4 linked regions of the Xenopus tropicalis genome follow. The protein of the gene in region 1 interacts with the protein of each later gene in a biochemical or structural test. Links are inferred from orthologs where the notes say so. Each region holds a gene or a part of one and is shown on either strand. Other genes may lie near its edges.

The links. The genes of interacting proteins can lie anywhere in the genome.
Region 2: the proteins of nr2f1 (region 1) and bcl11a form a complex in vitro, tested with the Homo sapiens proteins (2 studies listed by BioGRID). The link is inferred for Xenopus tropicalis from reciprocal best matches to the Homo sapiens genes NR2F1 and BCL11A.
Region 3: the proteins of nr2f1 (region 1) and bcl11b form a complex in vitro, tested with the Homo sapiens proteins (2 studies listed by BioGRID). The link is inferred for Xenopus tropicalis from reciprocal best matches to the Homo sapiens genes NR2F1 and BCL11B.
Region 4: the proteins of nr2f1 (region 1) and gtf2b form a complex in vitro, tested with the Homo sapiens proteins (2 studies listed by BioGRID and IntAct). The link is inferred for Xenopus tropicalis from reciprocal best matches to the Homo sapiens genes NR2F1 and GTF2B.

What each region holds. Positions count from the first base shown.
Region 1 is NC_030677.2:178,175,088-178,179,379, forward strand, and holds the start of nr2f1 (COUP transcription factor 1), read right to left. Parts: upstream 2,810-4,292; 5' UTR 2,294-2,809; coding exon 1,867-2,293; intron 1,605-1,866; exon of another isoform or gene 344-1,604; coding exon of another isoform or gene 235-343; intron 1-234. UniProt on the Homo sapiens protein: Coup (chicken ovalbumin upstream promoter) transcription factor binds to the ovalbumin promoter and, in conjunction with another protein (S300-II) stimulates initiation of transcription. Binds to both direct repeats and palindromes of the 5'-AGGTCA-3' motif.
Region 2 is NC_030681.2:33,979,159-33,983,350, reverse strand, and holds the start of bcl11a (B-cell lymphoma/leukemia 11A), read right to left. Parts: upstream 2,805-4,192; 5' UTR 2,672-2,804; coding exon 2,617-2,671; intron 2,594-2,616; exon of another isoform or gene 2,511-2,593; intron 1,835-2,510; exon of another isoform or gene 1,747-1,834; intron 1,522-1,746; exon of another isoform or gene 1,437-1,521; intron 1-1,436. UniProt on the Homo sapiens protein: Transcription factor. Associated with the BAF SWI/SNF chromatin remodeling complex. Binds to the 5'-TGACCA-3' sequence motif in regulatory regions of target genes, including a distal promoter of the HBG1 hemoglobin subunit gamma-1 gene.
Region 3 is NC_030684.2:90,496,492-90,500,790, forward strand, and holds the start of bcl11b (B-cell lymphoma/leukemia 11B), read right to left. Parts: upstream 2,805-4,299; 5' UTR 2,145-2,804; coding exon 2,087-2,144; intron 1-2,086. UniProt on the Homo sapiens protein: Key regulator of both differentiation and survival of T-lymphocytes during thymocyte development in mammals.
Region 4 is NC_030680.2:105,691,128-105,695,201, reverse strand, and holds the start of gtf2b (transcription initiation factor IIB), read right to left. Parts: upstream 2,805-4,074; 5' UTR 2,778-2,804; coding exon 2,761-2,777; intron 1-2,760. UniProt on the Homo sapiens protein: General transcription factor that plays a role in transcription initiation by RNA polymerase II (Pol II). Involved in the pre-initiation complex (PIC) formation and Pol II recruitment at promoter DNA.

The DNA.
Region 1 (4,292 bases):
TATATCATGTGTATTAATATATAAATATATATGACTGTATGTATATATATATATATATATATATATATATATATATATATATATACACACACATCACTATATGTATATATACTTAATATATATATATATATATATATATTCATCAATAGTCAGGATCTACAATCATTTCAAACACACGGAATATCCGAAGTGATACAGTGAAACAATGAGAATAGAAGATAAAATTGGACTTACAATAATTAAACATAGTGAGGAGAAGCCAATTAATGTATGCAAGGCTTGGTGCAGTGTGGCTGCTGGCAGAGTGAGTGACCAAACGTGGCAATGCAAAACACTGGATCATTAAGTGCAAGGATGCTAAACGTGAGCAAGCTTATTTATGCTCCCTGCTTGCAAAGCTCACAAACTGTTCTAATGGGGACGTGGGGGCTCACTCCATAGGCGCTAACTGCCTGCTCTCAGGACATGAAAACTAACAAAAAGAAAATGGAAACTGAACTAAATTTAGAACCCACACAGACACACAAAAAATATGAACTCACCCCATGCAATGCAATCATATGGCAATGATTTGTGTAGTGGGCCAATTTAAATGACTAGCATGTCTGGTATTGATAGGCTCTCACTATACAGGACAAGTATTCCCAGGCTGCTGCATTTTTAATAAAACCTCGGATTTTTAGATGGCGACGCTTTGCATTTAAATACAAGTGGAGTAACCTGTTCATTAGAGATAAAATATAGAACAATTATAAGCCTATGGATGAATGTATTTGCTTCCTGCTTTCCTCACCTAAATTACCTTGGAAATATTAACGTGACTTTTGGTTTTATATAAGTTTCAGCGTGGTTTGTAAATGCGGTGATGCCTATGTGCAGAGCATTGGGCACTGGCTTGATTGTTACACTGTATCTATTTGTACATAGTCACACACTCACACACACATTCATTCTCACAAAACATTACTTTTCTTTACTGTACACAACCACCCAAAATACCAATCACACAATCTAATACAAATACACAAGTACACAATATTTTTTATATATCACTATGTATCAGGATGTGTCAATGATGTAACAGTTTGTCTACTCCTACACACATAAACTTACACACACTGACAACCTGACACAGATACACAAAACCCACTGACAGGCAGGAACAAGTACAAGGCAGCTACGGACCCCGCATATACAGCCTCACCCCATTCATTCACACACTTTAAGCTTCTGTAACGAAAGGGAGGAAACTTTTAGTTCTCTCTGTAAAGTGTGTGAGATAATGGCCTATATATAAAATACAATACAACCTTCTTAAACAAGGTGGCTGCTAATTTAAATTATGTCTGGATTAAAGAGAGGGATGGCATAATGAAAATGGACTGTATATGAAGAATAAATGCATTTTGAATATGAAGAATATGAAGTGGAGCAGAGAGGGCATGTGTTTAGCAAGGCCACGAATTGCTGGAACTAGAGGAACTAGAGGATGCCTGGAGTGCCCAGAGCATGGATGGAAAGTACAGTAAATTGCATTGTTTTCATGTGGATTGGTGGGGGAGAGGTGCTTGGCTGAACTTGCTGTGTGTGTGTGTCTTTTAATGATGACAGAGAGAGGGAGAGAGAGAGAGAGAGGGAAGGGATGGAGCACATGAATAGAGAGGCTCAGCCAACAGCCCACAGCATGCTTCCACAGACAAAACCCACACAAAGCTAGACACGCGGGGAACGCAGCGATTATTAATATTAATAGCGCCACAATGCATCAGCAAGTCATACATATTGGGCCAGGCAGGCGCACTCACACACACACACACATAGACACACACACAGACACACACACCGGTGCCCAGAGCAAATATTCACCTTCCCTCCTCATGCCCACTTTGAGGCACTTCTTCAGGCGGCAGTACTGGCACTGGTTGCGGTGGTGCTGGTCTATGGGGCAGTTGCGGTTGGCGCGACATGTGTACGTTAAGTTCCTGCGGACGCTCCTCTTGAAGAAACTTTTGCAGCCCTCGCAGGTGAACTGGCCGTAGTGCTTGCCGCTCGACTTGTCCCCACACACGACGCACTCGATGTGCTGCTGCTGACTCTGCCCGGAGCCCTGCTGGCCCTTGTCCCCGGCTGCACCGGGGGTGGATGGGGGTCCCGGCTGGCTGGGGGTCTGAGGCGTGTGGGGGGCAGCGGAGGGCGCTTGCTGTTGCTCCCTGGCCCCCGGGTTGGGGCCTCCCGGATTTCCCCCGGCCACGTCCTCCTGCGGATCTCTCCAGCTGCTAACTACCATTGCCATATCTCGGGCCCAGAAAGTGCTGGAGAGGGAGCTTATGGCCGCGGTCTGGGGGGATTTGATCCTGGAGGAGAAGAAGAAGCTGGCTGTCTCTGCCGTGGTGCTGGCCGCTGCTGGGAGCCGTTTCCTTGGATTAGCGCTCAAGGGATTTCCCCCTGTCTCTTGCACAGTGAAATGGGCTCAGGAGCTAATGATGTATTGTGTGCCCGGCTGGGCGCTGGAAGTGCGGCTTCAACTGTTCCCCCCCTCCCCTGAGTGTCGATCTGGTCCTCCTCCCCTGGTCTCCGGGCTGCGGGCTGCAGGAGGAGGGTTCAGGCTGGGGAGGCGGCGGGATTCGCAGCCCCAATTTCGCCGGCAGACATAGGGCGGCCAGGGGCAGCGGGCTCTGCAGGACGGAGCAGTGTGCAGCCGGCCTGGGTGACGGGAGGGAGGGCGATGAAGAATAAATCTTTGGAGGGGGTGGGTGGGGGGACCTGATCAGGGTTTGTTAGTGTCCGGGGGCCAAATCCAGGGCAAAATGCAGTCAGCCATTCATAGAGCCAGTCCTGGGAATCTGCCTCATCCACAGCCTGGAGCAGATCAGGCGCTTCCCTCCCTCCGCGATCTGTCGCTTGGCAAATGCTCTCTTTATTGGGAGCGATGGAGAAATAACCCCGGTGCGACTCTCATTGCATCACAAGTCACAAACAGCGAGAGAAGGTTCCGACCCGTCCGCACCATGAGGAGACAGAGCCCGGCTTATCCCATCTGCCCGGAATAACAAGGCTCTGATAGGGGTCGGGCTGTGGCTGTACCGGCCGGCGGCTCCGCTTCTCCTTCTGCTCTTTGGCTTCTCAAGTCAGTTGGAAAAAAAAACACAAAAAGTCGCAGGAAAAGTCAGAGAGAGACACCGGTATCCTCCTGGAGCAGCGACACTGCGATTCTGAGAATAGAATAATAATAACAATGGGCTGGAGCGGTCGGTGCTGTGCGGAGCTCTCCTGCAGGAATGGAGTGAGGGAGGCAAAGGGGGGAAAAAGAAAAGGAAAAAAAAAGCCCAGACGACACCTAATAGAATATGCAATAAGAAGAGAAGTCGGGAGAAGGGAAGGCACAGAGTCACACACACAAATGAATGCGTTTAAACGGGAAGAGCAGCGGAGCAACGTTTCCGAAAGGGGGATCTGCGCGACTGTCTGTATATAGTGAACTTTGACACTACTATTGAAACTGACACGTTTCTATGGAGATCGCTGCCTTATATGGTGCTCATGTCAAGGAGCCAAGAGAGGGGCTGCTGGCAACTGATAATCAAAGGCGACTGACTGGTCAGAGCCCCGAGTTGGGGGGGAAGAAAAATGGGAGGCTAAGGTTAGCCAAGCCCCCTCTTCCTATTGGTGGGATCACTTGTGCCTCAGGCCCCCCCTTTTCCATTTGCCTTGTTACCTACGACTGGGGCTGGAAGGAGGGAGAATGATGGGGGGGGGGGGGGGGGGGGGGCTCTGACAAGCGCACTGTTCATTCACATCGCCTGCCTGCCCGCTGCTGCCATTTGCTCGCAGCCCTGATTAGCATGGGCCACAACAAAATGCACCACTTGGAGTGGCTGATGGGAAAATGGCAGAACTTACACGGCCTGGAGATGAAGATGTAAAAATGAGGAGACTGTGAATTATTTAGATTGATGTCAAAAGGAATCTCACTCTCTCCCCAGCAGCACTCTCACTCCCTGTCCGCACCCCCCTGCACTTTCCCACTGATCTCTAACAATGAGAATAATAATAAAAAAAATGTGTATCTGTATTTGAGCAAATATTTATATCTATCCCCCGCTATAGTGCGATATTTAGTGGAGAAGTTGCGCCACAGCGTTAGAGGAATTATTAATGAAACGCAGCTCCTGTCCCTTTTTGTTGTCTGGCAGGATCAATGCCTGTAAGAGTCCCAGCAGCACAGGCACCCTGTTAGAGACGCACATGCCTTTCAGCGGCAGAATCGCTGGCTGTGGCTGCCATCTAGCGGA
Region 2 (4,192 bases), on another chromosome or scaffold:
AACCTCTCTGTTTTAGGAAAAACCTGTTTCCCTCCCCTCCCCCTCTTACACAAGCCTCCTTGCTTCCTTCATCTGGGCTAATGGAGAACAGAACGATGTAAACTTTAAAAAAAAAAATGGACGGGCAAAAAAAAAAAGTCCCAACTAAACCTCTGACTTAAAGGGGTGCACCCCCAAAACTGCTTTTTGTAAATTAAAGAAAATCCCATGTACATTCATTCAAAAAGTTCAGTGGTTTTATTTGTAAATGTAATTGCTACCAAAAATGGTATTTGCTGATCCCTTTCTGTTCTCTGACTCTTGAAACAATGTAGCAGAAGCCAATTCTCCTCAAGGTCTGTTAATCAGTTGACTTCTGCTACATTGTGCCCGCAGTCAAAACCAGAAGTGCAGACAACGTAAACAGCCAGAAACATAGCAAAGACAGCAATTTCATTTACGAAATAACTTTTACATTTTAATGAATGTATATATAGGAAAGATGTTTAGAAATGCGATTAATTTCAGTTTTTGGGTGGGGGTAAAAAAGCAATTACTACACAACTAAATTGAGAGCTGGTAATCTGATAAAATAATGCATGTTGGCATACCACGTTCATTTCTGACCCATTTATGAATGTTACTTATTTACAAAGAGGTGGGTGATTTTTAGCAAGTGGGGAAAACGGGTCTTATTCTGCAAGGCAACGTTTTTCTTTCATTGTAACATTTATGAGGAAAGCGAGTTAGTGTATAAATACAGTTTTCAAAATAATTCATCATCAATAAAATATAAACTCGAAAACTGTTTATACCTTAAAACTGGGTTGCTCTGCGCAAATAAATACATGAATAATTAGAGTGAGATGAGGAAAAAAGACAAAGAAATGAAGAGGAGAAAATATATTCTACCCATTCACCCCCACCAGGAAGAAAAGGAATATGAAAATGAAGGAATATACATTGAACGAGTTAAAGGTTTAAGCTGATAGGTTTCCTAATCTTCCTCTGCTCCCTAGCGGTCAGATCTGGTATCTCTAAGCAAGTCTTAAGTGAAACCTCATGTTGGTGATCAATCCCCTGGAGCTCCCTTGGCAAGGGGTGGGGGTGGGTTCAGACAGAAAAAAAGGCATTATTGCTGACAACAAGAATGGAAAAAAGTTAACTGTGAATAAGAAAATAATACACCAATATAAACTATAAAAAGCAAATATCAACATGTAACAAAGACGTGGAACAATAACTAAAAATATGAAATTCTATTCCCAAAGGACTGGGTCATGCTATGGGGTCATGTCTGATATCCGGTATTGTAAATGTGATAAGATGCAAACACCCACATTTATATAAAAGATCAACAGACAAAAGGAAAGAGAACCTGAACCAAAGAGCAACAAAATGATAATATAAAGAAATACTACAGGTAAAATGACTTTCACCTATGGTCTGGCCGGTACCTGAAGGGGTCGAAGAGATTTATGGAATGAAAGAAATGTGTCATGGGGAATCCATGCTGAACAAAAACAAAAAACAGATGCAAATAAGCACATTTTTTTCAAGAATCCATAAATGTCACAACAAGGGGTTTCAGACACCAGGAAACAATATGGATATATAGATGACATAAATCAGTCTGGAACCTTTTCACATCAGATCGAGGGAATTCTGCACTGCACATTCACACGTTATTTTTTTCACAAAGCGGCGAAAAGTGCTCGGCACCCAAAACAACAACACCAACAACTTGCTTCGAGAACCCTCTCCAACCTTTTCTGAGTCACAAAGTGACAGACAATTTGATTTCTTTCACGGCCGAGCTGCCTCTTCAGAGGGTTTTTGTGTGCGAGTGTGTGCGTGTGTGTGCATTCTGTTGCTTTTTTTCTGGAGATTATTTTGCTTTTCCTGTCCTCAGTTGTTGGCAGGAGGCTCTGCACACGCGGTGCTTGTAAACATTCAGACACGAGATTTTTCCCAATCAAAATCCACTTCCACTTTTTTTGAAAATCTTCCAAAAAATAGTAAGAGAGTGAGAGCGAGAGAGGGAGCGAAAGGGAGAGAGAGGGAAAAGGAAGGGATTTCCTCTGCCGGCGGTGGAACGAGGAAAAAAATAAAAAGTTTTGAAAGAAGAATGAAGATTTCTTTGGGAAGAAAAGCAGCAGCAGCGGCCACAGAGGAGATTCCCTCTTGCAGCAGTCTCTTTCCCTGGGCTCCAGCGAGCAGTTGATAGAGCAGCCTATACAGCATGCCCCATGCCTGCAGCAAGCCAAAAAGCACCCAGCGCTGCCCAAACCTTACACCTTCAGGTCACCACTTTTAAGTTCAAGTAAAAGAAGAATTGCTCATAAAAAGCCCACACTTGCCTACTGATTCCCATGTCATCCCTTCTGCATGGTCTCTGTGCTGTGGCCACTATCACCCCCACTCTCTGCAACATTTGGCTTTTTACCCCCTCTGCCACAATCTCTTATCCTTTCTATGAAAAGTATTTGGCTTTCTACTTCTGAAGACATGAAAGGCTCCATAGAAAGTCTTGAAGATTTTTTCCCCCTTCTTGTCAGTGGTTTTGTCATGCTCTCACCTTTTGCATTGGAGCAGTGGGCAGCTGTGCGGGCAGGTAAGTGTGGGATCGGTACTTACGTGAGTATTCCCGTTTGCTTAAGTGCTGCGGCTTGCCTTGCTTGCGGCGAGACATGTCGGTCGGTGGGTGGCTCGTAAGAGCTCGGTTCACATCGGGAGAGCAGGGTTAGAAAGAAGGAGACTCCAGAGAAAATATCTTCATCAAATGCCTTTGACATCCAAAATAAATTAGAAATAATACAAAGATGGTGCGGGGAAGATGAATTGTGGGACAAGCCGTCATGACATTTTTTTTTTTTTTTTTGGAGGGGGGTGAAAAAAAAGGAGAGAGAGAGAGATAGAGAAGGAGAGAAATGAAAAAAAATGGCAAAAGCCCCCCTGAGCTGCAAGTTCAAGTGCGGACGTGACGTCCCTGCAAACTTGAACGTCAGGAGCTGGATGGACAGAGACATAGAAAACATGGGCAGGGCCAGTGGGAGAGAAGGGGAGGAGGGAAGCCAACACCAATGGACATTCATAAGGGGCTGGACAGGAAAATGAGACCCGGGCAAAGCCAATGGCCAGTGATGAGAGAGAGAGGGGGGTGGGAATGAGGGCACACACGGTACAAGCGGGAGGGGGGAGGAGAAGCTACACACAGGCTGCTGGTACTACTGCCGCTGCCGCTGCCGCTGCTTATTGAGAGGGAGAAAGGAAATAAGGCGAGAGGAGAACTGGAATGTGATCCTGCTGTGGAGATAACACAGGGGAAAGGGATCACAGTCTCTGGCACACTCACTGGGGCTAAGGGGGGCGAGCCCAGGGAGCGGGGGGGGGGTGGGAGAGACAGCAAGGGGTCAGGGAGAATCACCTCACGGGGTATAAGATGGTGCTGAGACCTACACTCGGGCTGGGGCGGCAGGAGAATGACGGGTCCGGTATGAGGAACCATGAGAGGGAAATGGAAGTTAGAGGCGAGCCCAGGGAGGGGTTTATGAAGTTGTTGCGGGAAGAAGTGAGTGGGGCGCTGATGGTACAAGACAGGTATTAATATTTAGCACAAGCACTTGTGTAGAAGGCGTCTCCATGAATGTGCGATAGGGCTGGGGGTGGGCGAGGATACACTGTGGCGCTGGGTGCAACATGGGAACATGCTCACACCTCACACAGGGAGTACAGCACTGGCACACAGAGAGGAAACATGCTCCCACCTCACACAGGGAGTACAGCACTGGCACACAGAGAGGCAACATGGGAACATACTCCCACCTCACACAGGGAGTACAGCACTGGCACACAGAGAGGCAACATGCTCCCACCTCACACAGGGAGTACAGCACTGGCACACAGAGAGGCAACATGCTCCCACCTCACATAGGGAGTACAGCACTGGCACACAGAGAGGCAACATGCTCCCACCTCACACAGGGAGTACAGCACTGGCACACAGAGAGGCAACATGCTCCCACCTCACACAGGGAGTACAGCACTGGCACACAGAGAGGCAACATGCTCCCACCTCACACAGGGAGTACAGCACTGGCATACAGAGAGACAACATGCTCCCACCTCACATAGGGAGTACAGCACTGGCACACAGAGAGGCAACATGCTCCCACCTCACACAGGGAGTACAGCACTGGCACACAGAGAGGCA
Region 3 (4,299 bases), on another chromosome or scaffold:
TGGCTCCTTTACCTTGCCTGCACTAGGCGGAACCACAGTTCTGTCCCCAAACACATCTTACCCCTTCCCTTGCTCTCAGGGAAACAACGTGGCTAAATAATAAAGCCATGAGTGCTTTTGTGTGACAGACACAGGCTCCCTAACCCATGGCTTCATGGTCACCTCCTGTGTCACTTTCCCAGGGACTATACATGGGCAATATTACATTTTCCTTCATGTGGACCACGGAACATTTACAGTGATTAGTACATTAATTAGTACTGAAGGCGTCCATTCCACTTCACGGGATTTATGTGGGGACTATGTTTTAGACATTTAGTGTCGTTGTTAGATCAAACCAAATAGTGGCAGGTTGAGGGCAAACAGAAACAAAAGACTTTTATAGAGACCTGTTTGTAGTTGTGAGCTGCTTTCGGTTTGTATCTGCAGAAGGGAGCACATGTGCTAAGTCTGACACGATTCAATGGGAGAAAAACACTACAATTGGGTTCTAATTTATTAAAAATGAAGATGATTTGATTGTAATTAGGTACCAACCCTGTCTCTACAACTCGGAATAAAATGTAGCAATGTAAAGTGCCAGCTCTAGGCCCATACATCGGATTGATCATTTCACAATAAGATGACAGACAGCAGAGCTACCCTGGGCACACTGAGACTCACACACAACTTATGTCCCCGCTGTCTTGCTCTGTGCTCCATTGCACCGTTAGATTGTCAGCTCTGTGAGTTTTGTGTTACACATACACATTTTCTAACTTCATCCCTCCTTTATGATCTACGATATTTTGCATTGATCTGCCTATATGTCCTATAGTGTAAATGGCAGGAAGGTTTCCCAGCTAACGATATTTTATGGTAATGCCATCTCTTATCAGCCCTGTGTTAGCTCCCACACTGAGACCCACTTCTGGCACAAGGTAACTAAAGGTCTCAGTGTTTTTCAGTGTATTTAGATATTACAGGGAAGTACTAACATCCTTTAATATAACAAAGTTAGAAAAGTAACAACTGTTACTGTGCAGTTCCATTCATTCTCTACAAAGTATCATTTGCAAGAACATCACATTATACAGGTGCGAAGGGAGCTTCCCCACATCCCAGTAGAGCTGACCTGTCGTTTTCTTTCAGTGCACTTTGGATTAGTTAGGCTGTGGGAGCCTACATTCGCCAAGCATTCAATCTATCAATCAGCTCTCCCTGTCAGCATACCTTCATGACTTAGGGGTCAACTCGGAATCCGCAGCATTCCCCCCAAAAAACATCCTGGAAGCTATTATGTCCCATCCAGTGTGTAAGTTTCTCTCCCCTCCTAATAAATTGATCCAGAGCCCCCCTTCTCCCACTCCCCCTCTCTCCCCTCTCTCCCCTCTCTCCCTCTCCCTCCCCAGGCTCTGCTGCCAATTTCGATGCATTTACATTTTGCAGCCACGCAGTTGTAACGCTCTCCTAGCCATGTGTTTGTCATTAAGTCTCCCCAGCCAGTCCTGCCCAGGTCTCTACCTTTCCCCAGCATTTCCTTGCCCCCTTTAACTTCACAGCAGCAAAACTGCAAATGAACTGCCCTGCCTTGGCTGCCCTGTATGCATCAACCCCACTGCTGCTTTAACTCTCATTATTACTAGTCATTTCCATGAATCCCATGCTTGCAAAATGCTACGCAGAAGCCACTGGCACAAATGAAATGCATTGCATTCTTGCACAGAAAGATGTAGATATACATTTCTTGAATTATTTTTGGAGAGTGCTTAGCTTTGTATAGTGCTAGCTGTAATGTAGAAGTGTGTGGGATATACCGACACAGCAGTGGGTTTGGAGTTTTTCACTTTCTGCTGTCAAAAGGATCCCATGTGCTCGCTAACTTTTCCTGACTCGCCAAGTTATTAAATGCATGCACCCTGCGCAATTCGAGTGTCACCCATGCAGCCCATGAAAGTTCCGGAGCAGGTTAGTGCTGCTTTCTGCCGGCCCCCATCCTGCCCCTGGCTGCACCTCCTGCCCCTGGCTGCACCTCCTCCCCCTGCTGCCTCTCTACCTTCCCATGCCATGTCCCTACAAGCCTTGGGCTTGCCCCGTACAGACTTACGTGCGATAATCTCCCTTTGTAACAAGTGCTGCGGGTTTCCCTGCTTGCGACGGGACATTGCCCTGGCATTTAAACTGGCATCGCCCGGAGATCTGCTCTGCGTAAGGGCGACCTGGTCTCCTTCCTCCCCCACGTTTCCTTCTTCTTCTTTTCTCTCCTCCTCTCTTTTATTTATTCTTCTTCTTGTCTCCTTCTTTAATGCTATAAAAATATTTAATAACGAAATGCAATAAACGTCCTCCTTTCAGCAAGAAATCAAATAAGGAGGGCACCAGTTTCTCCACTTGGCTTTCCAATCTCTTCTTCAACTTAGGAATTGGCTGATCTTGTGTCCACTCGTCCTATGTCCACAGTGCACGGCAATGGCACTTCTTCCATCAATGCACAAAATTAACAACAAAATAGAAATAATAATTAAAAAAAAACTACGACTGCCCAAATAATGCCAAAATGAGAGGCTTGACCCTGCTGGTTTAGGGGGTTGCCAGAGAGTGTCTCCTTCCAGTTAGACTGGCACTGCCCTGGAATGCAGTGCCCAGCACTTTGCTGCTCCACTTGTCTGGCACTGGAAGGACTTGCTGAGCCAGTGCTGTGCTGCTGGCTATTACTATTTAATTGTAATGTGAAGATGGCGGAGTCCTGGTTCTCTGGGAGCTCTCTGTCTCTCTGTGGCTAGGTCTGCCTCTGTACAATGGGATAAAATTCAAGTTCAAGTACGGACGTGACGTTTAATCTGCACCAGAGACAAAAAGACCGAGAGAGTAGGAGCACTGGGGGCGACTAGTGGTGGCTTTTTAACATTGTACCCTGAACACAACAAGAAAAACCACATGCCTACAGCACAGGGCTTTTGTACAGCTCTCATTCTCCAGCAGCACCCCACTGCTTGCTAAACCCATGCACTGGCACACACACTGATATTAAGGTAGCAGGCAAAGCACTGGCACCTTCTCCTCTTTTTTTTGAGAAAGGGAAGTTCACTATACAAATGTTCCAGGTCAGTTCTATGTGGCATCTTATCAAATACCTAAAGCACTTCATGTCTCCTGCCAGAAATGCCTGTTTCAAATGCAAGCTCTGTAGTACAAAAAAGTCTCTGCAACTTGTGCTGTTTGCATGGTAAGGGATTAGATGGTTTATTATATAAGTGACAGGTTTTTTTTACTATCATGCTAAATTACCAAAGATTTACAATTGCACAGAACTCTTATATACCCAAGACAGTGACCACTGGACTTCCTGCTTGCTAAACTGAAGGGGGGAACACAAACTAATGAATAGCAGAGATCCCACTGTATTATGTCTGTGTGGGGGGGGGGGGTCTGTCCACTTCACTAGGAAATACCATTACACTGACTGTGTTTAAGATTTTGCATTGCACTGCAGTGTGGTGAAAGGGTTAAATTATTTTGGCTTGCATCCAATGATTATGTGGAGTCTATTTAACAAAAAGAACAATTGTTTAATTTCTGCAATTTGCCAGTAAAATGTATTTTGCATGAACAAGATACTTTCCAATACAGTGGATTTTAGAATATTTTTGTTCTGTACTATAAAACACATTCTATCAGTGGTTTTTAATATCAAGTTTTGTATTTTGCTTCCCAAATTAAGCATATAGACATCTTATGGATAAGGTTATCCTTGCAAATACTGTAATATCTCTATCAATAAAGACAGCACACTGAAGATACATTATATGTATATATGTTTTTTTTTCTCTAATAAGCACCCATTTTATGCCTCTATATTTATTTCACACAGCTTCTGTCTGTGTGAACATGAAAATAATTTCAAAAGATTTCACAGAAGGAAAAAAATGATAATCATGTAGCATGGAATTAAAAAAAAAGTTAAAATAGCCACGGTGACATATTGTACATCATTGATGGAATTTGTAATAATTAAACGGATAAGACAATAAAACATCATTGCCGTTTTCTCCCGGAGGACACCTTTTCTTTCTGATGCTCATAAGAAATATGCAGAATGGGGGAAAATGCAGGAGGCAAAAGCCAGAGGATTTGCAGAAGGTGAAGAAAGGAGATTGAGGGAGACAATTAAAAGAACTGGGGACATGTTGTGAACACAGGAATTCATTCTACCAACACATAAACATACGCATACTACACACATGTATAATTACACCCAAACATATTTATTTACATTTCTGTCACACATGGGGTGACATCACTTCAATTACGTTAAGCAAA
Region 4 (4,074 bases), on another chromosome or scaffold:
ATAGCGTTTAGTGTGTTTTTAGCAAACATAAGTATGGTGATCCAAATTACAGACATTTCTCTTAGCTGAAAAACCCCAGGTCCCAATCATTCTGGGGATACAATATACTTCTAGATCTGCTAATGCCCTGTAAATGTGAGGCAATGGCAGAATTTTCTATTGGACAGACTGATCAAATGGGATAGCAGGTAGGTCTGTCAAAAATACTCCATAAAGGTCCCCATACACGGGCCGATTGTAGCTGCCGATAAGTCCCTTGGACTGATTCGGCAGCTTTTCGGCCTGTGTAGGGTCAGCAACGACTGGACTGGCCTGCCCAACCGATATCTGGCCTGAAATTGGGCAAATATTGATCGGGCAGGTTAAAAGATTCAGTCCGACCGGGGACCGCATCGGCTCGTTGATGCGGTCCCCGAACCAACTGCGCCCTTTACAGTCATACCGAATTAGCCTAAATTCCCCGATATCACCCACCCGTAGGTGGGGATATCGGGAGAAGATCCGCTCGCTCTGCGATCTCGCCAGGCGAGCGGATCGTTACGTGTATGGCCACCTTAAGAGGTCAAATTCAGCAATGTCAGTCATTCTTTAACATATGCAACCATTAGCAAAGTTAAACATTACAGTCCATGAAATTCAAGGGTTTATGAACATTTATTTAGCAGTGTTTACCCATCTCTTTACAACTGGCCTAAACACTAAACTTTTAGCTTTATAAAGAGTGGCACACACTTCTAGCACACCCTCCTCTTTACTGCACTAATATTCCCAAAATTACAACTTATGTTCCCTTACCCCATTGAAGCATGTTTAGAACGCACACTGTGTTCAGAGAGTGTTTTTTTTTTTTAAAGACCCTTGGGATCTATTGATGAATCTTCAAATAAGATATCACTTTCTAAAACTGGTGCCCAAGCTTCAAGTTTTCACACTAAGGGACACATTTATTAAATGGATGAAAATAGACACTTCACCATAGGAAGGTTTTACAGGTCCATATTCTCTTGCACCTTTTTGCTCCAGGAGGACGATATTTTGTTCCACTGCATACTTTTAAGTATATTGTTGGGATGACAATAAACCGCTACTTACTCTAGGGGCAAATTTTTCAAGGAATAATGCGCTTTTATAGTATTTTAGGGGCATATTTATCAAAGTTAATAAGTGATGGGTAGATTTATTTTCACTCAGATAAATATGCCCATACGTTATATGTAAATGTTTTGACTGCGTGTTTAGGTCCTGCTGTTACTAGCCTTTTAACCCAGGGAGAAAGCGGAGCTATTAAAGTCCATTTTTTCCCCAGAATAGTCAATATAAGGGAAAGATCAGAACTTCTTTAGCATTAAAGACTCATCTACAGGCCCCCTGCCAAGCAAATGCCAAACATGACTGCAGCCAGCCTCATAGCCACATACACCTGACAGCGCCATGCCACACCATTTAGACACCTACGTAGCTCTGACTGAAGCAGCTAAATGTAATTAAAAGCCAGAAGAGAAGTGCATACATCAAAAGCCCTACAGATCAGGGCACCAAAGTGGATTCCAATGCTTTAAGGTGAGTGACTTACAGTGTTGCTTCTACTTAAAATGAAATAAGCCACATTATAATTAAGTATATTATAAATAATACTTGGGTCACAAAACTTTTAGACTTTGCTCTGGTCCCCAGAGAAAAAGGTCAGGAAACTCAGGTCAATAGAATGATAGCAACTAACATAGCAACCAGTGGGGAAGCCAAAGCCACTATTGCAGGGATATTGCCCTATAGCGGAGACAAGAACCCACCCGGTTTACAGAATCACAAAACAGTACTAGGTTATCTTCTAGAACAGGGATCCCCAACCTTTTTTACCCGTGAGCTACATTTAAGTGTAAAAAGACTTGGGGAGCAACACGAGCATGAAACATGTACCTGGGGGTGCCAAATAAGGACTGTTATTGGCTATTTGGCAGCCCCTATATGGACTGCCAGCCTAATAGGAGACTCTGTTTGGCAGTACACCTGGTTTTTATGCCTCCAAAACTTGCCCCCAAGCCAAGAATTCAAAAATAAGCACTTTATTTGAGGCCACTGGGAGCAACATCCAAAGGGTTGGGGAGCAACATGTTGCTCACGAGCCACTGGTTGGGGACCACTGTTCTAGACTTTAAAAGCCCCTTAGTTAATAAAAAGGACAGACAGGCATTGCTGCATTAGCCAATCAGCTGTAGCCCAGGGGCAGTCAGTTTAACAGGGTCTCCTGTCCAAATTGCTCAGTGGCCCTCAACCTGGGCTAATAGGGCAAATAAGTACTATCCCTAAATCTCCCCATAACTGGACTATGCTGAATCCCATAGTTAAGGGCCCACCACAAAACCCTATCACCATTGAGAAAACATAGTAATAATGGCTCGTTCCACCAATCCCCATTGCAGGATAATATTGGCCCAGTTAGGCTGCAGGGCACAAAGGATTCCAGCCATGAAGGCGAACTTGACAGCGCTGGCTTCCATAACTCACTGCATTACAATCCCCACCATTCCCCCAGCGACTAATACAAAGTTCACAGGGACTACGGCCGAACAACTGCACCGTACGGCACGATTAGTTCTGATTTAGGGGCCGTATAGAGAGTTTCATATTCGCTCCCCAGTAGGGTCGTCACCCCGCGTAATAGAAAGCGAAAGTCTATCCAAAGCAGCCCCCCGCTGCATGCTGCCCACGGACAGGACAAACACAACTGCAAAGGCACCAAAAGGTAGGTAACATACTAACCGACTCGTCGACGCCATGACTGTCTTCTAACGCCGACTTTTCAATCTGCTTTGAAACAAGCCCGACAGACGGCGCGCTCTTCCTTATATAGACTAGCCAGTCACGTGCCCAGTGAGGCAGGGCGGCCGGCGCACAGCGGATGTCACATGTATGCGCAGCACTGCCAGCTACAGAGAGACAGCGCCGGGCTTAGTTACGTGTGCGTAATACGGAGGAACGTACAGGCGTCTGAGTTTTGGCGAGATGCAGTGTGGGTATACTCTGTCATTTCCCTTTGGTACGCAGTTTATTTTACTACTACTCTCAACCTAGTACAAGTAAGCAGTAACTTTGTTATGTTTTCTTATATAAAATATATATTTTTCTTGAAATTCTTTTATGTGGTGGTATAGCCGTATCTGGGATTGATTCCCACAACTTTCATTAAAATTCTTAACTATTAAATGGGGAAATATTGCTAAAGATAATAAAAAAAAACCAAAAAACTTTTATACAGAAACAATGGCCGGAGTAGAATATGTGTGGGGCAATAAGGCTGCCCCAGCTGAGGATTAATGGACACTTAGGGGCGTATTTATTATGCTGTGTAAAACTAATTCGTAGTAAAAAGCTGTGTAAAATAAATGGAAAAGATCGCCACCTGAATGTCGGATATTACGCCGTTATTTTCCCATAAGTTCGGGTGGAAGAAAAAACGCGTAAAACAATTACGCCATTTTTACACGGCGAAGCCTGGCGAATTTTTTTTTTTTTTTTACACAGCATAATAAATATGCCCCTTAAGGTGGCCATACACTGTAAGGTCAGCAAATGAGCTGATATTCATTATGCCCACTCGCGGGGTACGATTGAATTAAAACAGAGGGTACAGGAGCTGTCAGTTTGGGGACTGCATCAATGTGCAGTCAATGTGGTCCCTGACCCAACATAAAAATCAAACCTGCCCAATAGAGATCTGGCCGATTTTAGGCCAGATGTCGGTTGGGGTGGCCTGTCGTGCGTGCCCATACATGGGCAGATAAGCTGCTGAATTGGTCTGAAGGACCGATAGCAGCTAAAATCAGCCTGTATATGGCTACCGTAAGTTGCGACTAGGCTAGCTACTATACAGGGCGTATGTTTACCTAGCGGTGATTTATATTAATGCAGATGGGAAGGAAACATGGGTCGTTAAGCCCGCATCGCTGCTAGAAGAGATTTGGAGCACTTGAAAATATGTCCCCTTTGCGAGGGCCTCTTATCTTTCTGCTAAGAATGTCCTGCTTCACACAAAGCATAACAGGGCTCATTTATATACATTGGGCAAGTTTGTAA